Linked DNA regions of Ovis aries. The protein of the gene in region 1 purifies or fractionates together with the protein of each later gene. This does not show direct contact. Links are inferred from orthologs where the notes say so. Each region holds a gene or a part of one and is shown on either strand. Other genes may lie near its edges. The genes, in order: RAF1, BAG2, CDC25A, EMD, TIMM50, AKAP8L and DICER1.

What was found.
Region 2: the proteins of RAF1 (region 1) and BAG2 purify together in Homo sapiens (co-immunoprecipitation; 3 studies listed by BioGRID and IntAct, with this or other methods). This does not show direct contact. The link is inferred for Ovis aries from reciprocal best matches to the Homo sapiens genes RAF1 and BAG2.
Region 3: the proteins of RAF1 (region 1) and CDC25A purify together in Homo sapiens (affinity purification with western blotting; 3 studies listed by BioGRID and IntAct, with this or other methods). This does not show direct contact. The link is inferred for Ovis aries from reciprocal best matches to the Homo sapiens genes RAF1 and CDC25A.
Region 4: the proteins of RAF1 (region 1) and EMD purify together in Homo sapiens (affinity purification with mass spectrometry; 3 studies listed by BioGRID and IntAct, with this or other methods). This does not show direct contact. The link is inferred for Ovis aries from reciprocal best matches to the Homo sapiens genes RAF1 and EMD.
Region 5: the proteins of RAF1 (region 1) and TIMM50 purify together in Homo sapiens (affinity purification with mass spectrometry; 4 studies listed by BioGRID and IntAct, with this or other methods). This does not show direct contact. The link is inferred for Ovis aries from reciprocal best matches to the Homo sapiens genes RAF1 and TIMM50.
Region 6: the proteins of RAF1 (region 1) and AKAP8L purify together in Homo sapiens (affinity purification with mass spectrometry; 3 studies listed by BioGRID and IntAct, with this or other methods). This does not show direct contact. The link is inferred for Ovis aries from reciprocal best matches to the Homo sapiens genes RAF1 and AKAP8L.
Region 7: the proteins of RAF1 (region 1) and DICER1 purify together in Homo sapiens (affinity purification with mass spectrometry; 3 studies listed by BioGRID and IntAct, with this or other methods). This does not show direct contact. The link is inferred for Ovis aries from reciprocal best matches to the Homo sapiens genes RAF1 and DICER1.

What each region holds. Positions count from the first base shown.
Region 1 is NC_056072.1:56,466,534-56,470,033, forward strand, and holds part of RAF1 (RAF proto-oncogene serine/threonine-protein kinase), read left to right. Parts: intron 1-1,264; coding exon 1,265-1,363; intron 1,364-3,476; coding exon 3,477-3,500. UniProt on the Homo sapiens protein: Serine/threonine-protein kinase that acts as a regulatory link between the membrane-associated Ras GTPases and the MAPK/ERK cascade, and this critical regulatory link functions as a switch determining cell fate decisions including proliferation, differentiation, apoptosis, survival and oncogenic transformation.
Region 2 is NC_056073.1:3,197,015-3,201,276, forward strand, and holds the start of BAG2 (BAG family molecular chaperone regulator 2), read right to left. Parts: upstream 2,801-4,262; 5' UTR 2,649-2,800; coding exon 2,536-2,648; intron 2,534-2,535; exon of another isoform or gene 1,528-2,533; intron 1,311-1,527; exon of another isoform or gene 1-1,310. UniProt on the Homo sapiens protein: Co-chaperone for HSP70 and HSC70 chaperone proteins. Acts as a nucleotide-exchange factor (NEF) promoting the release of ADP from the HSP70 and HSC70 proteins thereby triggering client/substrate protein release.
Region 3 is NC_056072.1:51,718,774-51,722,256, forward strand, and holds the end of CDC25A (M-phase inducer phosphatase 1), read left to right. Parts: intron 1-701; coding exon 702-813; intron 814-1,036; coding exon 1,037-1,177; 3' UTR 1,178-2,983; downstream 2,984-3,483. UniProt on the Homo sapiens protein: Tyrosine protein phosphatase which functions as a dosage-dependent inducer of mitotic progression. Directly dephosphorylates CDK1 and stimulates its kinase activity. Also dephosphorylates CDK2 in complex with cyclin-E, in vitro.
Region 4 is NC_056080.1:80,070,509-80,074,688, reverse strand, and holds EMD (emerin), read left to right. Parts: upstream 1-1,380; 5' UTR 1,381-1,504; coding exon 1,505-1,586; intron 1,587-1,684; coding exon 1,685-1,792; intron 1,793-1,959; coding exon 1,960-2,037; intron 2,038-2,226; coding exon 2,227-2,360; intron 2,361-2,831; coding exon 2,832-2,878; intron 2,879-2,960; coding exon 2,961-3,297; 3' UTR 3,298-3,700; downstream 3,701-4,180. UniProt on the Homo sapiens protein: Stabilizes and promotes the formation of a nuclear actin cortical network. Stimulates actin polymerization in vitro by binding and stabilizing the pointed end of growing filaments. Inhibits beta-catenin activity by preventing its accumulation in the nucleus.
Region 5 is NC_056067.1:48,516,520-48,520,579, forward strand, and holds the start of TIMM50 (mitochondrial import inner membrane translocase subunit TIM50), read left to right. Parts: upstream 1-1,260; 5' UTR 1,261-1,271; coding exon 1,272-1,379; intron 1,380-2,307; coding exon 2,308-2,464; intron 2,465-2,987; coding exon 2,988-3,019; intron 3,020-3,224; coding exon 3,225-3,246; intron 3,247-4,060. UniProt on the Homo sapiens protein: Essential component of the TIM23 complex, a complex that mediates the translocation of transit peptide-containing proteins across the mitochondrial inner membrane. Has some phosphatase activity in vitro; however such activity may not be relevant in vivo.
Region 6 is NC_056058.1:7,577,393-7,580,892, forward strand, and holds part of AKAP8L (A-kinase anchor protein 8-like), read left to right. Parts: coding exon 1-10; intron 11-835; coding exon 836-944; intron 945-2,396; coding exon 2,397-2,538; intron 2,539-2,630; coding exon 2,631-2,736; intron 2,737-2,831; coding exon of another isoform or gene 2,832-2,881; intron 2,882-2,929; exon of another isoform or gene 2,930-2,972; coding exon 2,973-3,103; exon of another isoform or gene 3,104-3,500. UniProt on the Homo sapiens protein: Could play a role in constitutive transport element (CTE)-mediated gene expression by association with DHX9. Increases CTE-dependent nuclear unspliced mRNA export.
Region 7 is NC_056071.1:57,745,440-57,749,650, reverse strand, and holds the start of DICER1 (endoribonuclease Dicer), read left to right. Parts: upstream 1-1,411; 5' UTR 1,412-1,500; intron 1,501-1,932; exon of another isoform or gene 1,933-2,250; intron 2,251-4,211. UniProt on the Homo sapiens protein: Double-stranded RNA (dsRNA) endoribonuclease playing a central role in short dsRNA-mediated post-transcriptional gene silencing.

The DNA.
Region 1 (3,500 bases):
GGCATTCTCCTGGCTGCAGCATTCGTGTGAGCCTTGTGAGAGAGAATGCACGAGCTTTCTAGTCACTGAGTGCTCGTCTCATGGAGGGAAGATGCCCAACTGATGTGAATATCACTTTTTTCTATGTATGACTTTTGGTGCTAATGGCGATCTGTCCTCTCATACTTCAGTCTTACCATTTGTGCATTTCTGAGACAGAATGTTTCCAGAAAAGCTATATGATTTAGGTTACAAAGTGCCCTACTACATATAGATTAAAAAAAAAACAACACAGTATTTTGATGTAGTTGGACATTAGGCCAGTATTTCCTAGAACTGCACGCTAGAGACTCTGTGTTCATTGGCAGGTCAAGATTGTTCGTGTTCTGTAGTCACTAGGCCAGTCACTTAGGTTGGTAGTCCATTGGTGGACTCCCCAGGTGGCTCAGTGGTAAAGAATCCATCTGCGATGCAGGAGACCTGGGTTTGATCCCTGGAGAAGGGAATGGCTACGCACTCCAGTATTGCCTGGAGAATTCCATGGATAGAGGAGCCTGGCGGGCCACAGTCTGTAGGGTTGCAAAGAGTTGGACGTGACTTGAGCTACTTAAACAACTTACTCTGCTGCTGCTGCTAAGTCGGTTCAGTCATGTCCGACTCTGTGTGACCCCATAGACAGCAGCCCACCAGGCTCCCCCGTCCCTGGGATTCTCCAGGCAAGAACACTGGAGTGGTCTGCCATTTCCTTCTCCAATGCATGAAAGTGAAAAGTGAAAGTGAAGTCGCTCAGTCGTGTCTGACCCTTAGCTACCCCACGGACTGCAGCCTACGAGGCTCCTCCATCCACAGGAGTTTCCAGGCAAGAGCACTGGAGTGGGGTGCCATTTCCTTCTCCGATGAATGTGGTTGGCTCTCATCATAACCGACATGCCCATCCACGTCCCCTCCAAACTGCCCACAGTAGAAAGGAAAAGACTGAAACCCAGAGAGAGAAAGTGACCGCTGCTCTGAGGGGCTCCTGAGTCTCCTACCTGGCTTCAACTCTGAGGCCTCATTGTTGATCAGGGGCTGCCGAGCTGCTGTGTCTGAATCCTCTTCCCCTCTGGGATCCTGTGGCCCAGTGGACGTGAGCAACAAGAAATAGCTGGCCAGCAACTTAGTCTGGGTAGCCTAAAATGGTCCAGGAAAGTGTGACTAGGAGAAGCTGAGTTTGGAAGGCCAAGCAGGCTGACTGTAAAATCACTATCACAAGTCTGTAAACCAGCCTTTCTCTGATTTCATTTAGATTGTTCCCAAATTCCACTGTTGGTGATGGCGGGGTCCCAGCGCTGCCTTCTTTGACGATGCGTCGGATGCGAGAGTCTGTTTCCCGGATACCTCCTGGGTACTTTGCACCTACTGCTTTTATGGGAAGTTGTACTGGGGCAGGTGGAATTGAAAGTGTGAACACATAAAGATTTTAAAATTAAAAAAATAAATAAATTAAAAAAAAGAAAGTGTGAACACAGAGGACAGGAGTTCCCTTGAGGTCCCTTCTCTTTCCATGTAAACTGTGCAGCTTCTGTGGAACTCAGCATTGGTGTTAAAGCAAAATGTAGAACTTTCCTTTTGTTGTCCTTTAGTTCTTAAATTCTGGAAAGTGAATACAGTTAATTCTGGTATTCTGGCATGTCCGTTATGTCTCATTTGTGTGTTTTGTTTTTGTATTTTTTATTGAAATGTAATTGCTTTACAGTGTTGTGTTACTTTCTCCTCTGCAGTGAAGTAAAGCAGCTGTATGTATGCAGGTGTCCCCTCCCTCTCCCACCCCAGCCCTCTAGGCTGTCATTTCACTGAGCTGAGCTCCCCGCGCGGTATAGCAGCGGCCCTGTAGCTATCTGTTTTACACACGGTAGTGGATACATGTCAGTCCGAATCTCCCAGTTCATCACAGCCTCCCCTTCCCTCACTGTGTCTGCAAATCTTTCTCTACGTCTGTGTCTCTAGGGCTGCCCTGCAGATAGATTCTTTGGAGCTGTGATTCCACATTCCACATATATGCATCAGTAGTTGACATTTGTTTTTCTCTTTCTGACTTAACTCTGTATGACAGACTCAAGATCATCCACATCTCTACAGATGATCCTGTTTTTTCCCTTTTCTGGCTGACTGAGATTCTCCTGTCTACACGTACCACATCTCCTCTCTCCATTCACTACATTTCAAAGACTTTGAGATTTGCCTTTGTCAGTATGCAGTGAGCCTCAGGGGAAGGGTCCCAAAATGATATACAGTGATTCAATAAAAGTAAAACCCTCGACTTTGAAATACTTATTATGGCCTTGCATTGCTAAAACCATGATGTTTAATAAACTGCTATCTTGAAAAAATCTAATTAGATTTTTAATATAAAAAATCCATTTTAATGTGCCTGTAAGTTTGCACATAATCTGTCTTTACTCTGTTTTCCAACTTTAAAATCAGAGTTTTGTTGAGTTCACATGCTTCACTCAGTTCTACACATGAATTTGGAACCTAAAATAATTCTACATCTTTGCCCCAAATATCTGACTTTAATTTATATGTAGTCATATAATATTTAATGGCCTTTGTAAAACTAACATAGAAATTATTCAAGGCAGCATATCTTAGAATAAGGAATTTGTATTGAAATGATACTTGGATGTATTAGTGTATGACCTTATTTTTCTTGATAATTTGAAACGCATGTCTTTCTGAAAAACTGTACTTGCTTCTGAATATTTAGATAGAAGAAGCCAGGCCTCTGAGGCCATTCATGTTGAATTGCCTGGAAAGGCAGTTTTTTAAGGCCATGAAATAATTTCTCTTGAAAAACTCTTTCATCCCTTGAATTCATGCATGGTGCTAACCTTGTCTGAACAAAACCCAGAGTAATCTTTTGAGCAAATGACAGTGTTACGCTGAATGCATGTTTCCAGTTCGCTCGTGGGAGAGTGGCATTGGGTAAAAGAAGCCAGTGATAAATGTCAGAGGTATGCAGATCTGAAAATCAAAGTCATTGTAATTGATTTTGTGAGCTGTTTATGGGGAGAGGATGCCCATGAGTAAAGCGCTACTTGTGTGCAGGCACACTGGTCAGGTCTAAGATGGTTAGAAATCTTCCTTCAGGTTTTCTCATTTAGTCTCGAAATGAACCTGGGAAAGTTCAGCTAGCTTAATTGTACAGGGTAGTGTTGAGATGGTCTAAAATTTTGGAGTATTCTGTAGACGTGATTTATTGAAGTATCATTTCTTTTTACATGAATTCTGAGCACATATGTTATTTCCTTTTTAAAAATTTGCATGCAGAGGCACCTCAACAGAAGAAAAATTGTAAGTGGTGCATATTTAGATTGACGAAAGGAATACTTTTGTCGAAGGTCATAGTGTAAGTAGGGTTTGCCCCGAGTATGTTAATGAAGTAAGTAGTTGAAAGATTTTTCCATTCCAGAGGCCTGAGTGTCAACTGTGGACTTTTGTTTCTCCTTGTTGCCTAGTTCCCAGCACAGATACTCCACACC
Region 2 (4,262 bases), on another chromosome or scaffold:
CTACACTTTGAAATATGACATAGTAACTCAGAAAACTCAGGCGTAAAGCATTAAGCTCTGCAGCCACTCCTGAGCTCTTTTAACTTCTCAAGCCTCAATTTCCCGCCTGGACAATGAGGGTGACATAATTTCCACAAAGACACAGGACCTGTAGTCATGCTGGTTAGCTAAGATACCTGTTGGAGGGTATCATTTATGAATTATATGATCACTGCTAAACTAGTAACAATCGTGAGCAAAGTGCTCAGAGCCACTGACAAATGGAAAAGTCAGAGGCCATTTGCACGGTCACGAAAACCCGTAGAGAGAGACATCACCTTTTTAGGAGGAAGCAAAAAAGGAGATCTAGTTTCGTGCTAACGCATTAGAAACAACTGGAGTTTCTTCAGCGATTTGTGAGATGCGGTCAAACATTTGAAAAACTTTAAACACCATGGACACCAGTTCACATGGCAGGTCATGAAGCACTGAGCATAATTCTATTTTCGATTTCATGCGGAGAAAGTTTTTGCTGAGACTAGCACAACAGAGGGACAGTAAACACAGACCTCCTGGTACAGTCTGTGATTTTCAGTGTGCCTGCAACACTGCTTTATTAGCCACTCGTAACATGAAAGTAAATGACAGTTAACACATGAATGTCTTGTTTTCTTTTTAAACTTGATCTTCTGGGCCTGATTCTAGTTTCTAACAGCTCAGTGCTCTCTTCCATGACCCATCTGCCTTCATAAACTTCTCTATTTTTTACTTAACCTTCCAAAAGACTTAATTTTGTCAGCATCACTTTTTTTTAAAAGAAAGAAACAAAGCTCATCAGTCTAAAACTAGAAAAGTCCTTAAAATGAACAACTGAACACACATTTATCAGTCTCAGCTCAAGGGTTAATTCAGCAAGTGATTAACCACTTGTACACGGTAATCAGAATTCATTTCACATTAAGGAAGCCCTAGAACGTAATATTTCAAACAAGAAACTTCCTTTTAAAGATGAGCACCTGCCCTATGTGAGGCATCAATTCAAGTCTTAGAACAATAACTCAGCTTCAAGAAAGGAACTGTGTCCTGCCCGAGCTGAGAAGAAAACATCCTTTCTTTCCAACTAGGGAAGAGCCCCCCTGAAATGGCTGAGAACATGCCCTCAAAGTTCTTGAGACCAGAGACGCTCAGTCACTTGTTAACGCTGCTACATAAAATCGTCCACAGGAACTGCTCTGCCTGTTCCACCTGCTTCAGCTGGAGAAGGACCATTGTCACTCTCCGTGAAATCGTGGTGGTGAGCGTCTCATTTTCTGAGAAGACATTGTTTCTTTCTGTAATAATAAAAAGAACTATACAATAAATGATGAAAGTCAACATAAATATTAATAAATGATAATAAGTGCCTCATTTGGTTATTAATGTACTTTACTGGCAAACAGACCCCTTGTCCTGTTTTGAGATAAAGACACATATGCAGCCCTTCTTAAAATTGTGTCTTACATGTATTCCTTTGCTCACTCAGAGTCTGGTAACTATGGGAAAAATTACCTGTGGTTTTAGGGAGTTTTGGACGCCTTGGTAAGATCTGCCTGTAATTACACCTGCACACAATTTACCGGACCTTCAATGACAATAAGAAGTTATGGGAAGTACACAGAAGTCTTCATTCACTGTTAGAGAAAAGATTATTTCCCAAATTTCTTACACATTATTTAGGAATCCTATACAAGCCGGTGACTACATTTGTCACTAAGCAGGGTCCCCACACCGGTTTCTATAGAAACTGACAGCAGCACAGCCTGGAAAGAATTCAGGGAAAGAGCCGGGGTGAGGCACTCTGTGCTCTGGGAAAACTGGCAAAACAGGCTCTCCGGTTTTCAGGAACTCAGATTCCTAAATCTTCTCAAATTCAGAAAAGCACTAAAAGCTTTAAGGGAGACAGCAGCTCCTCCTGACCGGTGGTAACCTCTGCGCGCCTGACCCCGGGCCCTGCTCCAAAGTCACATCCTCGCTGACCTCAGCCCGACCCTCGCCGCCAGGGCTTCCCTCTGCGCGCTGACCGCCGTGGACACCCCGACCGGGAGGGGACACGCCGACCGCAGGGACACCCCGACCGGGAGGGAGCGCTGCGGCTCGGGCCCTGGCGGCCGGGAAGGTGGGACGGCGCCCCGGTGAGGCCGAGCGCGGCTTGGGGAGACACCTGTCCGCTGCTCTCGGGCCTGAGGCCAGACGGATTTTTCCGTTTTGCAAAGGGCTCGGTCGCTCAGCACAGAAACCACTAACCGGCCCCGGTCCTAAAACCGCTCGCGGCGGGGAGTGGGCCGGAAACACCTGGCCCCCCGCGGAAGGTTCTGGAAGCTCCGCGGCGGCACGGCCGTCGTCTCGAGTCACGTCCCCCCTACCTCCTCTGTTCGGGGTCGCGCGGTCCCGGCGCTCGGGGCCGCCGAAGGGTGGGGGGCCGCCGCGCCGACCCAGCGCCGCGCTGCCCTCCGCTCCGCCCTCGCCCCCCGGTCCTCGCCCGCAGCTCCGTCCCCGCGCGGCCCCCGCCCCGCGCACCTGAGCTCCAGCTGGTCCAGGCTCTCGAGCAGGCGGCTGGAGCGATCGGCCATGGACGAGGAGCGACAGAAGCGGCCCTCGTTGGCCTTGGCGCTGATCCTCGCCTGAGCCATCTGCGCCGGGCGGGCGGCCCGAGGTCACCGCCGTCCCCACGCGCCAACCGTCTACTCGGATGCGCTGCCCGCAAACCCGAAGTCGGGGGCCAGGGCACCCAGATAAGGGCGCGAGGGCTTGGCGGCCGGACTCCGACCGCGCGAGCTGCCTCGGGGGCGGCGCGGCGGGGCGGCTCCGCGTGGCGCCAGGCCCGGCCCCGCCCCGAGCACGCCCCGGGGCGAGGCCCGCGCCAACCACGCCCTCGCCCCGCCCCACGGAGGCCCCGCCCCCAAGCATAGCCGGGGCGGGGCTCGCGTGAGCCACGCCCTCACCCAGGCTGGCCCGCGGCGCCCCGCCCCCGATCACGCCCCGGGGCGGGCTCGCACCAGCCCCGCCCTCTCCCCGCTCCGGGGCCATCCGCCGCGAGGAAGGGGTCCTTTGCGTAGCCGTGGTTCCCGGGCACCTTCCCGAGGTGAGAACTGGAGTCTGGACGCCAACAGAGCAGAAGACAAAAAGCCGCCCTGTCCAGCTGCGTGTAGGGGTCAAGGTGAACCTCATCGTTTTCACACCCACTCGCATGAAAGCATTTGTAATGACTTCTCTGTTTAAGTTATTGGTTGGAATTCGAGTGAAATGATTGTTATTTAAGGCCGTTTCTAACCCCATTTGTATAAACCTCCTGTTATGAGAAGACCATGGAGGCCGCTCGGCCACCGTGCAGGTCAGGGAGTAGTAGAGGGGTGGCGGGGCCAGAGCACACTAGGCGTTCTGCCCAGCAGTACACGGAGGGGATGCACAGGGCACCGGGAAGGGGATAATAACAGTTCAAGGCTGGAGCCCAACCTTTAATCTGAGATCAAAGTCGAGGTACTTGAACAGAGATGAGGCCCCTAAGGCTAGATCCCAGTTCCTCTGAACTCTTAAATACTAATTCACAACTGCTGTAGGGGGTCATCTGGCCTCATTAGACGTTTTATTGTATCATGACAAACGTGGAATCCTAGACGTTTTGTGAATGTGCTAGACTCTCTCACACCTCAGACTCAGTGGACTCCAACTCCAGAGAATACCCAGGCCCGTCTTCACTCCCCACTGGGCCAGCATCCCAGCCTTGCCCTCCCATCTGGTCTGGTGCTGTTTGCACCACTGTCTGTGCTCAGCTCAGCAGCTGCAGTGATCCAGAATAAGGCACAGCAAATGACTCCTCAGAAACCTTCAGCGGCTCACTTGTGAAATGAGTAAAAGCCAAGGCCTTCAGAAGAGGCCTCAGAGGACTCTCGTCGCCTGCTGCCTGCACTAGCCTTGCTGTGCATGTCTGGATAAGCTCACTCCCTACCTTCAGGCCTTTGCTCAAGTTCTCTAAGGACCCCGACCACTCTAGTACGAAGAGCAAGCCCCGCCCCCGCCTCACCCCCACCGCTCCTCAGCTCTTTCGGGCGGCTGTTTTCCTTCCTCATCTCAGCAACCCCCCCCAAGTGTGCCCCACTGCGGAGGTGAGGGCTTCCTTTTGCTCACTGATGTATTTCAAGTGCTTAGAATAGTCGCTGACAAATGTTAAGTACTCAATAAATACTTTGTGAGTGAAAGAATAAATGGTTTAAAAGAAATTTAAAAGAAAAAAAATTGATGGAAAA
Region 3 (3,483 bases), about 4.7 Mb from region 1:
CTTCATCACCCCCACTCCTGGGTGAGTCCTGGCCACTGCTGGGCTTGGCCCATCGTTCAGCCTGCCTTTCTGTTGAGTTAAACTCTGGCTCTTTGGGTTCCCCCACTGCCCCTAGTCCTGCTGGTGGGGCTGCTGCTCTCGGGTGACATCCTTCAGGGACAGTGTGGTGACTCCTTATGCAAATGCCAGGAAAGTGTGATGTCCTCTCGGCAAAACCTAACATGACGCCTTCAAACACTTTTCAAATCCATGTTCGCAAAGAATGGGGTTATGTTACTTCCAGGTTATTGCCACACGAGAGGTGAAAAGAACTACGCCGTCTGCCCCCCATACACAAGCTTTTATGACTAAGGCCCTATTATAGTTTACTACAGAGATAAATTTTATGCCAAAATAAGTGGAAGTATAGCTACAATAAAGCATCACTTCAGATTTAAAATAATCGGTGGTGGTGGTGGCAGAGAAGACACTGGGTGGGAACCAAGACGCTGTTTAACTTGGAAAGTAGGGAGGAGACCGTCCGCCTTCCAAGACAAGGCCGTGGAGCTGGCTGTGCGCAGGGTCCCTGAGGGTCGCGGCAGCGGCGGAAATCACATCTGGCACTGTCTCCAGGAGTGCAGGCCAAGCTGGGGAGATGTGTAAGAGGTACTGCTTTCCCCGTGCAGAGCGAATCAGACTCTGGCTCTCCTTGCCCTTTACAGGTGCCGATATGTGAGAGAGAGGGATCGGCTCGGTAATGAGTACCCCAAACTCCACTACCCAGAGCTGTATGTCCTGAAGGGCGGATACAAGGAGTTCTTCCTGAAATGCCAGGTGAGATGGACTCTCTGGAGGGCACAGGCCACCCCTCACCACCCCCTAGTTGGTGGTCATGGCTGTTTCCTACCCAGGGTCTGGGGGTTTGCCCTGAGCAAAGAAGGAGCCTAGAACCGCCCCCCACCCCACCCCAGCAGAGCCTTGTGGCCCCCGGCAGGGAGGGAGCAGGAGTGTGCATGGGAGGCCAGTGTGCCCAGATCTTGGCCTGTCTTCCCTCCAGTCTCACTGCGAGCCCCCCAGCTACCGGCCCATGCACCACGAGGACTTTAAAGAAGACCTGAAGAAATTCCGCACCAAGAGCCGGACCTGGGCCGGGGAGAAGAGCAAGAGGGAAATGTACAGCCGCCTGAAGAAGCTCTAAGGGTCTCGCGGCCAGGCGGCAGCAGCCTCCCAGCCCTCCCCACTCCCCTCTTTGCTGCAGAGAAACTTGAGCAGAGGGGTCAGCAGCACGACACTTGGAGAGAAGGGCGGAGGCCTCCACGTCTTAAACCTACCTCGCACCCTCCCGAGGTTGGAGCCCGGAGCCTCCCGCCGCCTCTCAGTCCCTGGAAGACGTCCTTCTTCAGCAGGGCGCTCAGCCAAGGTGGTCACGTGCCGCAGCAGGGTTCCGAGCAGCAAGTCAAGGCGTTCTGCCTCCTCCCCCATGGTTGGATGGGCCCCTTGCGGCCTCGCTGGGCACTGGCCTTGTCTCCTGAGGGGAGAGACGGAGAGAAGACTGCCAGACGCTGCTGTCCAGACACCAAAGACGGCCCGGGAAGCACAGGTCTTTGTGGGCTAGCCCACATCATTAATTTATTCAACTTCACCAATCACTTTTTTTTCTTTCTTTTTTTTTTAAAAAATCAACTCCTGGAGACTTTTATTTAATTGCTTCTTTCAATTAGAATACTGCCATCCTAGGTAGGATTTTATCATCCCGGGGACTACCTCTGCCTTTCATTTTTAAAGAAAAAAAGAATAAAGGAGGGGGAAGAAGAGGGACATGAGTTGTGGGACAGAGAACAAGGGGCTCTGTCTGTCTCCCCCGGGAGGCGCTGCAGTGCTGGGGCCGCTGCTATTTACAGCCAAGGACTGAGACACTGGTGGGAGCAGGCGCCGGACTCAGACTTGGCTTCAGGACATAAGCTAAATCTCCCAGACCTACCTCGAAAGGCCCCTGAGACCTACTATGGGGGAGTGACCCTGCTTTTCCTCACCCCAGCTCCCTGTGATGTCACTGGGCAAGAGTCACGATCAGGAAAGCACTAGAGGCAGCTTCCGTGGGGCCACTCCCAAGTCATTGTTGGAACGTATAGAATAGGTATCCCAGTGTTGGGGGGCAGGGATCGGGGGGCTCTGTGGGATAAGGGAAGGGAGTATACTTTTGAGTGTCTTCCTTCATCATTCCGATACTCTTTGACAGCTTCTGTTTTTTTTAAGAAAAAAAAAAATAGCCCTTTTATGAGTCAAGGAGTATGGAATTCATGTTGCCTGGGCCCCCCAAGTATGGGGAGGGGCTGGAAGCCCCTGGCATTAGAAAGGAGTGGGTGCTGGCAGAGATGACTACAGCGTGTGTTTCTCGGGAGGCAGCAGCGTGGTGGGTTTTGAAGGTAAAACTTTGAGTTTATCATGTTTTAATTTGAGGGACATTGAGAGATGGGTTATCACCAGTTCCCCCTCATCTCACCCCACAGAAGTGGGGATCTCAAAGGAACACCTCCCAAGGAGCTGGGGCTGAGTGGATTGATTCCAGACGGCTGTTTGGTGCCTGTTCATCCCTACCCTTAGGCGCTGGCTTCCTCACCATCTCTGCTCCACTGGGGTGTTGCCAAGTTTTTCTTATATTCAAGAGTCAGTCTCCCCTCTTGCCTCAGCTTCCTGTTCTGGGGGTGGGGAGGAAATCAGTGATACTGGAGATGACTGGTTGCTATGTTATGGGTTTGAGTTGCTTTTGACTATAAAACAATCTTGTTAGAAAAAGTATATGGGGAGGAGGGGAACAGGAGAAGGCCTCTACCCCCACACACACACTGAGACCCATCTGAATTGGTCTCCAATCTTGTTTGTAGGGATTCTGTTGGTTGAATGCCTGAAAAGGGAGGTGGGATGGCCTTCAGATCATACCAGCTCAGCTAGCATTGCTAACCAACTGTTGCAGGCTCTGAAAATAAAAACAATCTTGAACCCATGCTCTCTGCCTGCCTCATGATGGATTTAAAGGGAACTGTGAGTCTCTAAAGACCTGGGACCACACCTGGCTAAAAGCACTGGTTAGAGGCAGTGACATTTTCTCAAGATGCCAAAGAGCTGTCATGTGGCCTGACATCAGGCTTGGCCAGATGACCTTCAGTTACTCCCCTGAGTCCAAAAGCAAGCTTGTGATTCAGATTGATTGACAAGATGAAATGGGGATAGGAAAAGCCTGCCTGGACTTCTTGACATTCCCTGACAAGATGTATTAATTCATAGGATTGAGCAACAGGCCAGAGGAGGGACCAGTGTAAAGGAGATAGGCGTTTCAGTTGTGTTCTGAAGGAGCCAGAGAGGACACTGCAGAAGGAAGTCAGGCACATGGTGAGTCACGGGCCCACACGCAACCAGAGAAACTTGGATGTGCGATGCTGGGGGCTGCTGCCAGAGTGGATAACAGCTGGAGCGAAGGTCTATTACAAAATAGAGTGGAGCCTG
Region 4 (4,180 bases), on another chromosome or scaffold:
CCTCATATTTTGGGAGATGGAGAAAGCCTCATTTCTAAAACCTGGCCAACAGCAACCTTGAGGAGGGGCTTCGTATGTGGTTAAACCAGGGCCCTATCTTCTCTCCACCCCATGAAGGAACTTTTGCTGAGACCGAGGCTGTGACCCTCACCAACTGGGCCAGTCTGCCAGCCTTCATCTCAGTTCCGGGAGAGGCACTTAAGTTTCCCCTCATTCCATTGGCTGGCTTTGTTAGAATGTCACTGTCATCTTCTTCCTAATTTTCATGGGACAGCTCTTCCTGACCAAGGCTCTCACCAACTCCCTGTGACAGGCCCTGGCTGCCTTCCATGGTTTGCCCCCCTCAGTCCCCTGGCCCCCCTGTCTGGGAGGCTCCCTCTGCACTCCCACGACCCTGAAGCCCACTGAGACCCAGGTGCTCAGAGTGCATTATCGGAAGCCTGGGGCAGGTCCCTCTGGCAGCCTCCTGGGTCACGCTGGGCTCAGGGGCCATCCCAGCCACGGTGGGGAAGCCCCTCGCGCCTCTGGTGCACTGCCGGTGGGTGAGGCAGACACCCGCCATCTCGGCATCACAGGGCGCCCCATGCCAGTGCCCATTGGCATGCCCGGGCCCCTTCCAAGGCTGCTGGCTCCTGGAGGGCCGGTGGCCTCCTGGCCCAGTGCCCCATTTCCTCTGGGGTGCAAGGGGAGGGAGGGAGGCGGTGGGAACCGGCGGGCGCAGGCCAGGATCCTGCAGAGCGGGAAGGCGTGCTGGGGCAGGGGGTCTGGGGCTCTGGGGGGCGGTTTATGGTCAGGTGGCTACAGGCTTCCTTGGTGTGGCGCGCGCGCGCACTGCGCGTGCAGCAGCGCCTAGTCTGGACCCGTGCTCTCCAAGGGCTTGCCCCTTCGGATCAGGCCCCTTCTCGCAGCCGCCGGCGACGCGCCCGCCTGGGGCGCGGCCAGGGACCCGCAATTGCTGGAGCAGAGGGGCAGTTGAGACCGAGCGGACTCCACGTGACTCAGGGAGGGCGAGCCCCGCCCAGCGCGCAGCCCCGCCCAGCTCCCGCATCCTGCCCAGTTTCTGCCGGTTGCATGGCCACAGGCCCCGCCCCTCCACCCTTCTGACCCAAATAGCCGAGCGGGTGACGTCGCGGCTCGCGGGCCCCGCCCCGCTCCCAAGCCGGGGCGGGTCTAAGCTAGTTCCCGTCGCGCCCAGGCCCCGCCCCCTCGCTGGGGTCCAGCCCTAAATGCGCCAGCGTGTGACGTCTCTGGGCTCGGGAGCCCCGCCCCTCCCCGCCCATTCGCGAGGCTCCACCAATCTGCGCTGGCAGCTCTCTGCGAGGCCCGGCCCCGCTCCGCACAGCGCGCGCTGCCCGCGGAGACCGAGACTGTGACGCGGGCGTGACGCGCGCGTAGCCGCTCCCGAGGCACTCCTGTTTCCCCTGCCGCGCTCCGAGGCCATCGTCTCTCGGCCGGTGTTGCAAGGCCCAGGCCTCCCCCAGGCCTCCGCCGCCCGCTGCCCGCCATGGACGACTACGCAGTCCTCTCGGACTCCGAGCTGGCCGCCGTGCTGCGCCAGTACAACATCCCACACGGGCCCGTCGTCGGTACGCGGTGGACGGAGGGCGGGCCCGCTCCCCGCGCTTAGCCCCGCGGCCCCCTCTCGGCCCGCTCCCTGACCGCCCTGTGCCCCGCGTCTGATCAGGTTCCACTCGCAAGCTCTACGAAAAGAAAATCTTCGAGTATGAGACCCAGAGGCGGAGGCTCTCGCCCCCGAGCTCGTCCGCATCCTCTTTCTCCTATCGGTTCTCGGGTGAGGCTCCCGTCCCAGGGCCCCGCCTGGCCGCCCTTGGGGACACGGTTTGGGGGACGCTGAGGAAGGGGTCGCGGGGGTGTGGCCAGGGCACTGGCTGGAAGGGGCGCGGGGGAAACGGGAGGGGACCCCTGTGGGCCAATGGTCCTAGCCCCTCCCCCATTCAGACTTAGATTCGGCGTCCGTGGACTCGGATATGTATGATCTGCCCAAGAAAGAGGACGCCTTACTTTACCAGAGCAAGGGTAAGGCAGGGGTGGGGTGGGCACTCTGACACCTTCCTTCCAGTGTCAGCCAGAACCTGAGACCTCAACCCCATGCGTCCTGCAGTAGCCCTGCAGCACCCCCCCCCCCAATGGGATTCAGATTAGGGCCATCGGGCCAGGTGGGGACACCGTTGCCCCTTCTGCTACCGCTGCCCCCCCCTTCCTAAGGCTATAATGATGACTACTATGAGGAGAGTTACTTGACCACCAGGACTTACGGGGAGCCTGAGTCTATGGGCACATCCAAGGGCTTCCGCCAGCCCTCAGCTTCACTCTCAGATGCTGACCCCTTTCACCGCCAGGTGAGCTGAGTTGTCGGGCACCCTGTACTTGGGTACAACCTGAGGGGGTCCTCATGGGGTTTGGATGAGTCAAGGGAACCACTGGGCACAAATGGTGGCTCAGAAACCTCCAGGGAGAGGTGGGGCCTGCAGACACCTGCCTGGTCAAGACCTTTGGGGTGGGGGAAGGGGCTGTCAGAACTGTTTTGACTAGTGTGCCCAGGACGTGCCCTGGCTCTGGTCTGGGATCTAGGTTTGAGCTCTTTTTGAGAATTCTGGGGCAGAAAGTAGGATGCAGGCAGCCGGGACAAGTGGCACGGCCCTGCAGACATAAGGCTGAGGACCAAGAAGGGGGTCTGGAGGGTGGCAGGGCCCAGGCCTTTAATCAGTGTTCAGAACAGGCTGGGAAGGGCAGTTTGGACTGAGGGTATGACCTGTCATACCTACACCGACCCTGTCAATAGGTATTCTCATTCTGATTCACTTCTGTAGGTCCGTGATGACAATCTTTTCTCTTTGGAAGAGGAAGGCAAGGATCGGTGAGTATTAAGGCGAGCCAGGGGCTGGGGCTGATTCAGGACTCAAGCCCTCCTGGTCTACCTACTGCACTCTTTGCCTCAGGGAACGCCTCCTGTATGGCCGGGACAGTGCCTACCAGAACATTGCACACTACCGCCCTATTTCCAACATCTCCAGAAGCTCCCTGGGCCTGTCCTATTATCCCACATCCTCCTCCACCTCGAGTGTGTCCTCATCTTCATCTTCGGCCCCTTCGTGGCTCACCCGCAGAGCCATCCGGCCTGAAAAGCAGGCCCCTGGGGCTGCCGGCCTGAGCCAGGATCGCCAGGTCCCGCTCTGGGGCCAGGTGCTGCTGTTCCTGGTCTTTGCTGCCTTCCTGCTCTTTGTTTACTACTCCATGCAGGCCGAGGATGGCAACCCTTTCTGGGCAGAGCCCTAAGGGTCTGACCTCGTACCTTGGAGGCCGGCTCCTCTTGGAAGCCCTGGCTGACTGCCTTATCAGTGTTTGTTGGGGGAGGGGGGTTGGGGCTTTTCTGTGTGTTCTAGCTTGGGGTTACCAGGACATGGGCAATGTTTGCTGACCCCTGCCCTGTCCTGCCAGGGAGGCAGCAGGCCTGGGCCCTCTGCGGCATGGTGGACCTGGGTGGGCCTGCCTCTGGATCCTCCTGGCCCTGCTTGCCTGTCACCCTTCGGGCCTAGGAGGGCAAGACCCTTCTCCTGGAGAGGAGAACATGGTTTTGGTCATCGCATGCCTCCTATTTGTCGTCACCTCATGGGGGGATTAACCAAAGGCCACCCTGAGTTTGTTTTCGTGGACACAATAAAAGACCATTTATTTTTAATGTGTGGGTTCTTTTCTTTAACATGGGGAGGGGTTGGGCTGCCCCCCTGCTAAAGGCTTCCAGGCCTTGGGTCTCCAGAATTGCCATCCAACTTTGTCAGTTCATCCTTTCGTCCTTTGAGCCTGAGATAGGGATCATAGGCAACCCATAAACTCATTTATGTTTTGCTTTTGGTGCCCGCTCCCTGACATGTTACCAGAAGCTCTTGTAAGTGCTTATAAAAAATAGTCACACAGAGAGCCCACTGGGAAACGCAGGTGAGGCTGCTTGCACCGTGTCAGTTCTGGGTGTTTCAACTGGGACCAGCAGACACCAACTGTGGTGTCCAAGGGCAGAGTGATGGGAAGGAAATGAGGCATCTGCTTGATGGGCTGCTGGAAGGCTGGTTGTCTAATGACAGGGGAAGGCTCTCAGTCCTCTGGAATGTTTCATCTCCTTTTAGTAAACCAGTTCCTCACCTGGGTATTACCACAAGGTTTT
Region 5 (4,060 bases), on another chromosome or scaffold:
GCCATCATTGACACAATGGACATGAGTTTGAGCAACCTCCGAGAGATGGTGAAGGACAGGCAAGCCTGGCATGCTGCAGTTCATGGAGTCGCAAACACTTGGGACATGACTGAGTGGTGGAACAACAATCCCTCCACAAATCTAAATAGGACCTATGGTGCAGGCTCCAGCATCTGATGGTCCTTTCCCTCGAGTCCATCTAGCAGTAACCTCAGAATCGCTGTAGCTCATCTAAGGGCTTGGGTGGGGCTGGGGAGCAGTGTAGAGAATGGGGCTTAGTACCTTAACCACCTTCACTTTTCTCATTTGATGTTCACGTCTTCTTACAAATGTAATATAACTTGTATTAAAATAGTTCAAATGTTTTAAAGGATATGTCAGGAGCACCCATGTCCCCACCACCCAATTTAGGAGCTATCTGTGTACCAAATAAGAAGGACCAGTCCATTTCCCTCCAGAAGTAACACAACCCTAAAATTCTGTGTCTTTCACCTGACTTCGTATGTTTACTACCTTAGTTGTTGCTGTTGTTTAGTCGCTCAGTCCTGTCTGACTCTTGTGACCGACGACCCCGTGGACTGTAGTCCAGGTTCCTCTGACCATGGGATATTCCAGGCAAGAATACTGGAGTGGGTTGTCATTTCCTTCTCCAGGGGATCTTCCCCACCCAGGAATGGAACCTGCGTCTCCTGCTTGTCAGGCGGATTCTTTATCACTGAGCCACCTGGGAAGTCCTTATTATCTTAGTATTTATCCCTAAATGCCGTGTGGTGATTTACATGTGGAAGATTAATCATGGCTCCCGTAGCCTCTAATTCTCGGATTTCCTCTCAATACCCTGAGCCCGCAGCGGTTCGTTTGGCTGAGCCTCCATGAAACTGGCTGACTTTCCAGACCCAGTTTAGGAAACTCAAGCAAGAAAGGGCTGGGAGAAGGGGAGGGAAGGCGGATGAGACCTCTCGGTCGCTCGTGAGGAAGGTGTGTGAAGCTGGCTTTTAGTTTTTAGGACAAATCCAGCAACAATTAGGTCCCTTCCTTATGGCCTCCGCTTGACCCCGGGCAGTGGGTGTCCCGCCCCGTCCTGTGGCGCGGGCGCTGGAACGCCCTCCGGCCTGAGCAGGACGTGACGGCGGGAGACTCCCAGCCCGCAGCCTTTTGTCTCTCTCGGGCTCCCGTCCACCCACCCCGCCCCTGTATTACCATTGGCCGCGGCCCCGGCCCGGGGCGGGGGGAGAGAGTGAGGAGGCGGGGCCGCGTGGCGTCAGCGCAAGATGGCGGCCTCGGCGGCGCTGTTCCTGCGGTTGCGGAGCGGGCTCCGGCAAGGCGCGCGGGGGCTGTGTGCGAGGCTCGCGACGCCGCCCCCTCGGGCCCCGGACCAGGTGAGCCGGATGGGGTTGGTCCCCGGGTGCTGGGGCTCCTTCCTGTGGTTCCGGGCGGGCCGGGGCCGCCCGGAGCTTCTGGAACGCAGCACCTCAAGGTGCTGAATGGAACGCCACGCGCGTTTTGAGTCTCTTCCCCGCTTCCCGGGGTTGGCAGCCCTTGCTTCCCCGGGATAGATGCTTGGGGACTCAAGTGTGTCCTCTGAACCTTACCTCCTCTGGATCCCACCTCTTCTGGACCCCAGCTTCTCGACCCCACGTGGGCGCCGGGGAAGGAGGGGTCACCTGCTCTCCTGTCTCGGTGACGGTTCAGGTAATACTCGAGGGGGAGGGGCCCGGGACACTGGAGTCCCAGCCTGGCCTCGCGGTATTTTCCCCGCCGTGGTGCTGGTGGTGTTGCTAGGTCTTCTGATTCGACCTGCCTCCATCTTGACAGAGACCGTGCCCTTCTGACCTCCGGGTCCATTACTTCTGTGCCCTGCTCCCCAAGTCCTAGCAGGCTATTGCTCCTCCCTTCCGTCCCCCTCCATACGCCACTGTGAGCTCCAGACGGCCGGAGGACTTAACTCCCCGTCCTGTCCTCTTGCGTGGCCTTCAGTGGCTTGCTCCAGAAATCTTAGTCAGTGTTCAGTCAGGGTCCCTGATCGTATCTCCCTTCCCTGCTTCTCCACCCGCGCTCCGGTTCTGTAGGATCCTGGGCCCCGGGCTTGTCATCTCTTGAACCCCTGGGATCATAGCGCCAGTTTAGTTCTTGACTTTTCTGAGAGACCCAGTCCCCTACCTGCCCCTTTAGGCACACAACACCTGGAGGCCATATGGGTGTCCTCTTCCTGGCTCTCAACCTTGATTCTTCTTAGACCAGGGTGCTGGAAACACCCCGACCTTGTTTCTCTTCTTTCTTGGCCAAGCTACCCCCTCTCAATTGCAGGTTGCAGAGATTGGGAGCCGAGCAGGCACTAAGGCCCAGACGCAGGGACCACAGCAGCAGAGAAGCTCTGAGGGTCCCAGCTATGCCAAAAAAGTGGCACTCTGGCTCGCTGGGCTGCTTGGGGCTGGTGGGACCGTGAGCGTCATCTATATCTTCGGTGAGGAACATATCCCTGTCCCCCAGTTATGTTCTCTTGGCCCTCTGTTCTGCTGGGGGGACTGCCCCCTCTTTCCCCTAAGGACTTCACCCATCTTCTTTCCCTGGCTCCTCCCTCAGGGCAGCCAACTGGAACTTGGAAATGAGAGAAATCCCCCTACTACCCCTCTGCTCAAGGTTCTACTCCTTCTAGTTGGTTCCTGTACTAAGCTATAGGGAGTCAGTTTAAAGGGGGGAAGAAGAGGTCTGGACCAGCCCCCTAAGCTACGTTTTCCCTCAGCACCCAAAATTCCAGTCCTCCCTCTAGTCTGTTTATTCCTCAGAGACCCAGGAGACCCTGCCCCAGCCCTCCTTGTCTCAGAGACCCAGATATTCTGGCTACCAGCCCCCTCCTCTTTCTCAGGAGACCATACCTCTAGCCCCCTTCCCTCAGACCCAGGAGGCTAGGCCCTCTGCCCTCTTCCTCCCATAAGTCCCAGGAGACCAGGCCTCAAGTTTCTCATTCATCACTATCTCCCTTGCAGGAAACAATGCTGTGGATGAAAATGGTGCCAAGGTGAGTGGGAGAGAGACACAGAGGCCTTACCAGGGGTCGCATCCTGTGGGTCTCCTCCCATCTGGTCTGTTCAGGCTCCTTTCTGGTCTGGAGTGAACCCTCCCTCCCAGGGACCTTTGCCTGCTCCTCCCAGGGCCCCGGAGATTCCTTGCCTGGGTTTTGCCTCTGCCGTCCCAAACCCTTCTTTTTTCTCTCTACCTCCCAGATTCCCGATGAATTCGACAACGGTGAGTATACAATCGTAGATTCTGGGGTCCCCTGACCCTCTCTACTGTGCCCTCCCCATTTGGTTCCCCCCGCCCACTTCCACTGGGAGGTGGGGGAGTCAGCAGCTGTATGGCTTGGGGGAAGAGGGGCATACAGAACTCCAGTCCCCTTCCCTGGCCCCTCAGCCCAGGAGCAGATGGTCAGGGGCAGTGGGGGAGGGGACTCCTGGGTAGGTGGGACTGCCTGGGGGAGAACTGGGCTTTCTCTGCCAGACACATGGCTTCCTGTGCCTTAGATCTGAGCATCTGCAGCCCCTCACCCCCTTGTTTATGACAGCCTCTCTTTCCCACCAGGCCATAGCCCATCCAGCTCATTTCCAAAACAATGCCTCCTTCCTCCCTCCCCGCCTTCTGATTAGCCAGCTTTTAGGGAGTTTCTGACAAATTGGATAGTAGAGGGAAGCTGCCAATTCTATCACACCTGGTCCTTCCCAAGAGAAATATAAAACTGGTAGGTCCAGAAAGCCACTTGTTTGTGCTGGAGATGTTTGCAAGCCGGCATGTTATTACGTTGGTGTTGGCTCAGAGGGTAAAGCATCTGCCTTCAGTGCGGGAGACCCGGATTCAGTCCCTGCGTTGGGAAGATCCCCTGGAGAAGGAAATGGCAACCCACTCCAGTACTCTAGCCTGGAAAATTCCATGGACAGAGGAGCCTGGTAGGGTATAGTCCATGGGGTCACGAAGAGTCGGACACGACTGAACGACTTCACTTTCACTTTAAACTTGGCAGGTAGCTAAGTATGTGTTAACTGGGCAGATGTAGAGTCATACTGTT
Region 6 (3,500 bases), on another chromosome or scaffold:
GCAGACAAGGGTGAGTCTTCTGAGTGGCCCGGGCACTGGGGGCTTTTCCAGATGCTTGTGGCGGGAGGGGGCCAGCCGAGGGCAGGGTTTTGGCAGAAATAGGCCCAACTTGGATTGTCCCTGTGTGGCTGACTATGTGCTGGTAGGGAGTAATCTCTCTTCCTCTTCCTGGTTCCTACTCTGGCCCTGATCTCAGACAGTACACTGGTTTTGCCTTCAGGTGGGTGGGGCAAGCAAAAGTGTGGGGGAACCCCAGGCGCAACCCCTGCCTTCAGGCCCTTAGTAACATGCAGTTCCGAGTCCTCAGTGGCTGGTGTCCAAGGTGGGACCCTTGGTGCAGTTTTTACGGCTCTGGTTTGCGTGTCCTTTCCCTTAGCACCTCTACAGCCCCTGTTGGGAGTCCGTGTCTCCCTATTCGAGTGATGAGCGCCAGCAGGTACCTAACCTAAATCCAGCCTCAGCCTACTGTTGCCGCGGTACCCAGTGTGGGTGGGCAGGGCCATGTGAGCTTTGGGGCCTTTTACCCTTGGGGGCTGCACTCAGGCCCTACCTGAGGCCTTCCTGCATTCTGCCACCTGGGTCCTCTGAACTTTTGCCAGTATCTCCACTGAGACAGCCTCTCTTTACCTTCCAGCTTCCCTGTGGCTCACTCTGCAGAGTGTGGATGTCCTGGAACGTGGTGGGGTCAACTCCCCACACATCCCAGGGCACCCGGTCCTGCTTGCAGCCAGAGGCCTTGCTCAGACAGCTGCTTTCAGAATGGACCCCCTGGAGTAGAGAGTGGATATCCAGCCAGAGGCCACAGACTGATAGCCGTATCTTTCTGTTCCCACAGGGGTCCTGAGCGCCCAGGATGAGAGTGGCCAGGCCAAGCGCAAGTTGCAGGCAGGCAAAAAGAGTCTGGACAAGCAGAAAAAGCGGCAGCGAGACCGCATGGTGGAAAGGTAACCAGCTTCCCTCCACCCCTTTGCCTCTGCCTCGCTCTGGGGCTGCCTCCAGGAGAGCAGGGCCATAGCTCTGCTGCCTCACCGCCCTCTGGCCTCCCTTGGGAGCCGCCACCTGCTCGGCCGTGCATGGACCCTGCTTTCCGCCAGGCCCAGCTCCCAAGGCCTGATTCATCCCCTGCCCCTGTGCGGCCGCCTGGCGACCGCTAGCGACTTTGGCCTGAGATCTGACACTGCTCAGCACCGTTGCCCAGAAGCTCCGGCGCTAGGTCACTTGGCACATGAGCCCCAAGGTGCACTGGGGGCCTGATGCCCCTGTGGGAGGGGGCCAGCTCAGCAGAGACTCAAGGTCCAAGGCGCCTGTGCCACCCCAGCTAGCTGCCAAGAGGCCGTCACCGTGCTCAGGAGAGATGGCAGCACCTGTGGGCTGTGGCAGCCTCGGGCCTGCCCTCTGCCCGGCCCGCCGGCCCTGTCAGGCCGGGCCTGTCTGCGGCTGAGCCCTTCACGCCCCTTGGTCGGGTCTGTCTGCCCTCAGGGCTCCCGCACTGGCGCTTGCCTCCTCCTCCTCCGCCTCAGACTCTTGCTCTTGCTGGACCTTCCTCAGCCTCGCCGGCGCCCGGCCCCTGGGCTCTCCAGACAAAGCTGACCCCGTGGCCCAGATAAGGACGTCCGGCAGAGGTAGGGACCTGCCCCGAGGCCTCGGTGGCGGCTGGCCTCTTCCGCCCCTTGCCACGGCGGCCTGCTCCGGCCCAGGCCCCAGACCCCGGGCTTCTGCTGTGGACACGCGGCCCAGACAGAGCACCTCGCTCAGGTGACTCCAGGCTGCCCTCTGGCAGGCCAGGCGGGCGCCCTCCTTCCAGCTCAGACTGGTCTCTTCTCAGAAGAGGAAGATGAGGCAGCAGGTGCCCAGGCCTGCTTGCCTCCCATCCCTCCCGACACTACCCCCAAGCATTCTGAGCAGAGGATGGGCTGGGTCTTTGAGCCCCTCAGCCCCCACAAGGAAGATGCAGCACCTTTCCGGGCCCTGCCTCAGGACTGCGTACTTCACTCTGCACTCAGGGTCACCTGGCTCACGCCAGGGCATCCTTCCTTTTGCTCCCCAGCTGGGCCAAGTGCACAAGCTCCTGCCCAGCCTCGGTAGAGAGGCCCTCCAGCAACCTTCCAGCGACTCCTTGCCTGTTGCAGCTGCTGCTGCCTCAGGCTTCAACCTCCTGCCTGTGGGAAGGAAGAGCTCCTGCCCTGTCCCCTGCGTTGCAGTAACTGCAGCCTGCAGATGTTCTGTCCCTTTGCACTCCCAACCCCACTGGTCCTAGCCTGTCCCCCTGCTGGGACCACACCTCAGAGGCCCATGAGCAAGGCCTGTTTCAGGGCTCACAGCTGGGTTGGGTGAGGCAACAGCACTCTTTCCCAGAACCCTCTTGGTCTCAGCTCTGCGTTTCCCTCCTGTGGCAGGATCCAGTTTGTGTGTTCTCTCTGCAAATACCGAACCTTTTATGAGGATGAGATGGCCAGCCACCTTGACAGCAAGTTTCACAAGGAACACTTTAAGTACGTAGGCACCAAGCTCCCCAAGCAGACAGCTGACTTTCTGCAGGTGAGCCTTGGAGTGGTTGGTACAGCTGTTGTTACCCTGCAGACATAGAGTGGCCCACACAAAGCTTGATATCTCCCTGGTGTATCCGGCAGGAATATGTCGCCAACAAGACGAAAAAGACAGAGGAGCTCAGAAAAACCGTGGAGGACCTTGATGGTCTGATCCAGCAGATCTACAGAGACCAAGATCTGACACAAGGTGAGGAGGTTCCATCCCAGTCCTACCAGGCCGGACCACAGCCTTCCCTCCTCTGGTTCTCAGAGTAGGGTCACAACACCCCTCTGTTCCCCCAGGGAGGGTCAGTGAGAACAGCCTCAGGCCCACGTGGAAATGGCAGGGTGAGGTGAGGAGCTGGTCTGGCATTTTCCCCCAACTCCTGGGTCTTTCTTAGGTGTCTGGGACCAGTGGCGACTCCCTCCTTCTCCCCTCTACAGAAATTGCCATGGAACATTTTGTGAAGAAGGTAGAGGCAGCCCACTGTGCAGCCTGTGACCTCTTCATTCCCATGCAGTTTGGGATCATTCAGAAGCACCTCAAGACCATGGATCACAACCGGAACCGCAGGGTGAGTGGCCACCAGTGCCCTCCCATCATCCTGTGGGCTAACTGGCTTAGGCCTCTGGGGAGGTGCTGGGGTCATGACCCCTGCCTGCCAGGGGCAGGAATATAGACACATCTCCAGCCCAGAGCAATCAGCCACGCTACAGAAGGATGGGAATCGGGGACTCTGTGTGGCAGGTGGTGGCATCAGAGCCAGACCTTAAGAAGAAGTAGGCTCTGGGAAATGGGGACCTGCGTATGCATAAGGGCCAATGGCCAAATTAGGTTCAGACACCAAACAGGGAGAAGCATACGGTACAAGTGTTGTTGGAGGAGGGATTGGACATAGGTTCACAAGGGCTGGGCTGAGGGGCCTGGTCTTGCTCCTATCGGCAACAGAGTTTTTAAGTGGGGGACTAGTA
Region 7 (4,211 bases), on another chromosome or scaffold:
TGTTTACCTGTTTGGAGCATGGGGACGGGTGCAGGAGAGTCTTTTTACTCTATATCTTTTTATGCTTTCTAATGAATGAACCATATATCTAATACTCTTTTTTAAAGTTAAAAAAAAAAAAACCTGATGAAAATCAGACAAAGCTGGTGAAGGAGAAGCTCAGCTAGTCTTGACAGACTGAGAGGACAATAGGAGAGAATGAAAATTTTACCTGCCCACAAATTTCCACTATTAGTGAACCCCAGTGCCTATCCCCACCCAGAGATGTCATTCTTCTTACAAAGGATTATCTCCAAAAAGGCTTTACTTAGCAACCTGGGGAGGCCTTCTGCCTATAGTGCAATATAAATGCTTGACACATATAAGAAAAGCTATTTCTATGGAGACCTGACAGAGTGTTCTGACTACCTCCTAATTTTGCCCATGAACATTCTATGTTTTTCTGAAACATTTTGCCAACTGACGGTATATATAACGATCAAAATGTGAGCACTGTAGTACCAGCCCCGAAGCCAGATCCCCAGGGTTCAAATCTCAGTTGTTCACTTGTTAGCAGCTTACTTGCTAGAGGTTATGAATTTCTTTCCTCTGTTATTATAAAATGGAGGGCAAGCAACAGCCTCTGCTTTACAGGATCCACATGAAAATCAAAGTTTACAAGAGCCCGTCCAATACCAACATAATGCTAGCCACAAAAGACATTAAATACTTCCTAGAATTTAAAAAAAAAAACAATATTTATCCCAATATGTCAAAAACATTATCACTTTAACATGTAATGAATATAACAAATAATAGTGTGGTTTCACATTCTTCTTTGGTAAGGAACACATACATCTGATTTTCAGGTCTCCTATCTCTGTTAAGACTGTGCTGTGCTTAGTCGCTCAGCCGTGTTTGACTCTTTGTGACCCCATGGACTGTATGTAACCTGCCAGGCCGCTCTGTCTACGGGGATTCTCTAGGCAAGAATACTAGCGGGGTTGCCATGCCCTCCTCCAGGGAAATCTTCCCAATTCAGAGATCGAACCCTGGTCTCCCAAATTGCAGGCAGATTCCTTACCGTCTGAGCCACCAGGGAGACCCCAACACTAGCCGGATTTTAAATGTTCGACGGCCCCCTTTGCATCAGCGCAGCCCTAGACAAGTCTAGCACGATGTAGGTGCTATGCGCTCTTAGCCGAAGCTTGGTTGCGGTTATGCTACCTCTTTTGGGGTAAACCAGTCTATCAGGTGAGCAGTCTGGAAGACATGCATATGTTTGGAATAAACTAATGCGATTTTCTTTTAGCCAGTCACTTACTGGCCCTCCATATTAATTCACAGCTACAAGATAAGGTGCAAGGTTCCGATCTATGCAAATAGACTATTCACAGAAGTGGGGCCGCTGCCCTAATCTCATTTTCTGATCATCCTAGTTCCGGGTTGGGGGAAGGATGCGGGGTTAATTGTCTCCCCTAATGCGGAGGGCCCTGGACCACTAACCCTGGGGAAATGCAGGCGAGTGGGACGGTCCTTTAAAAAGGGGATGGGGCGGTGAAAAAGAGCGCCGAGCTCTCGGGAGAACAATTAACGGCCACGGCAAAGGGCCACGTTTAGGGGGCGGTCGGTGCCAGAAGGGGCAACCATGAAGGCGGACGAATTCCGAGCGCCAGCAGAATTCTCGCCGAGCCAAGCGAGCGTCCGCAGGCCGGGCGCGCGGACACCCGGCGGGCGGCGAAGGTTCCCGGCCCCCGCGCGGGCCCGCGGAACGTCCGCGTCCAGCCCCGGCTCCTCTGGGCCGCAAACACCGCCAGGGGCCTCTGCCGCTCGCGTCCACTGTCTCCCGGCTCCTGAATGGCTGGGGGGCCGGGATTAACCTTTCACCGCCGCGCGCTGTCCAATCACAGGCTCTCTCTCATGCCGGCGCGGCGCGAGGGGGAGCGCGGGGGCGCGGGCGCCGGGGAGATTCTCCAAGCCGCCGTGCGCCGTTGCCGCGGGGCCGTGCGCGGGCCTCGAGCGAGCCGGGCGCTGCGCAGTCTCCGCAGGCGCCGGCGGGAGGGGTCGAGGCGGAGGCGCGGCGCGGCGCGGGCTGCTCCAGGCCCCAGGTTGGATGGAGTGACCTGACAGCGGGGACGAGGCGACGGCGAGCGGGAGGACATGGCGGCGGCGGCGGCGGCGCCGGGCGGCACCGGGAGGCCTGGGCTGTGACGCGCGCGCCGGAGCGGGGGTCCGATGGTTCTCGAAGGCCCGCGGCGCCCCGTGCTGCAGGTGAGGCGGGCTTCCCCGGCCGCGGAGCCGCTTTTGTGTCCCGGGAGTGGGGGGCGGAGCGAGGGAGCGGCTCCGCGCGCCGCCGAGGCCCGCGTGGGCTCCGGACTCAGGTGGGGAGACCGGCGCGGGGCAGATGGCGCGGCCTCCTCGCTCGGTCCTGGGCGGGGCGGGCACCCGCGCCGCCGGGCTCGGCGCAGCCCCGACTCGCTGGCGCGCGTCCTGACTCGGCGCTCCCGGGGACTTTGTGCGCGGGGTCGCCTGGGCACCCGGTGGGCACGCGGGCGCCTCCGCACCCGGAGTGGAGCGCGCGGGGGAGTCCTCGCCGCTCGCCCACCCACCCCCGGCCCGCGGATAGCTGGGCTTTGACAGGTCCGGCTGCGCGCACCAGGGTGGCGCGGGGTCCGCCGCCGCCGCCGCGTCTCGGGAGCATCCCCGGGAGGCTGCGCGGTGGCTGGCGCTGGCCTCCTGGGTGGACACCTTCGAGGGGCCCGGGAGGGAAGGCAGGCCGGGCCCTCCTGCGCTGGCAGGAAAGCACGAGCCTTCGGGGGCGCGCCCGGGCGAGGATTGTTCGTGTTTATTGGCAGGTGACCAGCTCTCTGGGTCCCCAGGGGGCGGGTGGCCGAGGCCATCTTTTCGCCCCTCCTCTCCGATTTTTTTTTTTTTTTTTTGGTGCCAGCACGCCCCTGGATCCCTGCAAAGCGAGGCTTTCGCAAAGGGTTTTTCAATCCTTGGCAAATCAGTGTAATGTTTTAAGTTAGCACTGCAGATTTTTGGCGGGGGGGGGGGGGGGGGGGGGGGGGTAGACTTTCCAGAAAAGCTGAGTTCCTCCAGGGCTTTGCCCGCAGTGTAGAGCTAGCAGGCCACTTAATGTGGCTTTTTAATGGCCTGAAGATGTGCAAAGACAGATGAGCGGGGAGTATTTACTGTAGAGTGTTCAGTCCATGCTTTTGTGGAGAAAGTCATGCTTACAGGGACACCTCATTTACAGATGATCAGTCTTAAGTATTGAGGTGACTATCATGATTTACAAATGTTCAGGTGGTGAAAGAGTTTTAATTTGAAGTCTTTGCTTGTTTGGTGCTTTGGATTTTGCTGCTGCTGCTGCTTAGTCGCCTCAGTCGTGTCCAACTCTTGTGCTGTGGATTGTAGCCTGTCAGGCTTCTCTCTCTGTCCGTGGGATTCTCCAGGCAAGAATACTGGAGCGGGTTGCCATGCCCTCCTCCAGGGCGTCTTCCCAACCCAGGGATCGAACCCGGATCTCCTGCATTGCAGGCAGAGTCTTTATCTCTGAGCCACCAGGGAAGCCCCTTGAATTTTTCTGGATCTTCACAATCCTGATGTTCAGTTCGTTTCCTGTTGCTTGGTTTTCAAGTGCAGCAGACTCAGTGAATGGAAAAGGGCACAGATTAGGAATTAAGTAACTCGGGGGGGGGGGAATATATATATATATATATAATGTGTGTTAGTAAAGGTCAACTACATTGAAAATATATTGGTATTAACATGAAATTTTCTAAATACCCATTTTAGCCAAGGACTCCAGTAATTTATTAGAGGATGGATGATGGTACAAGGTTCTGAATAAGGGTGCTAGTGAATAGTAATTTTAGTATTAATATCTTTGGGAACTAGGTGGGCATAATCAGTTTATTTTGCAAAACTTTGTTAGTAGCTCTCTGTGGCAAATCATATTACATGTAATATATGCTGTATATACTTACATATAGTTTTTCAAATTTTCATTGTGGGACATAGTTTGTAATACTGTAGATTAGAAACACTACGAAGAGTGCTTTTAACATGATTGCTGTGAACATTGATTCAGAGCATCAAAATGCTGTTTTAAGAAACGATGTACACATTTAATTTGGGGAGAAAAGACCTTCATTTCCTACAATTATTGTAATAAGGGTTTGCTTTACCTTTTATGCTGTCATCTCATCATTAAAGGTTAAGTTCTG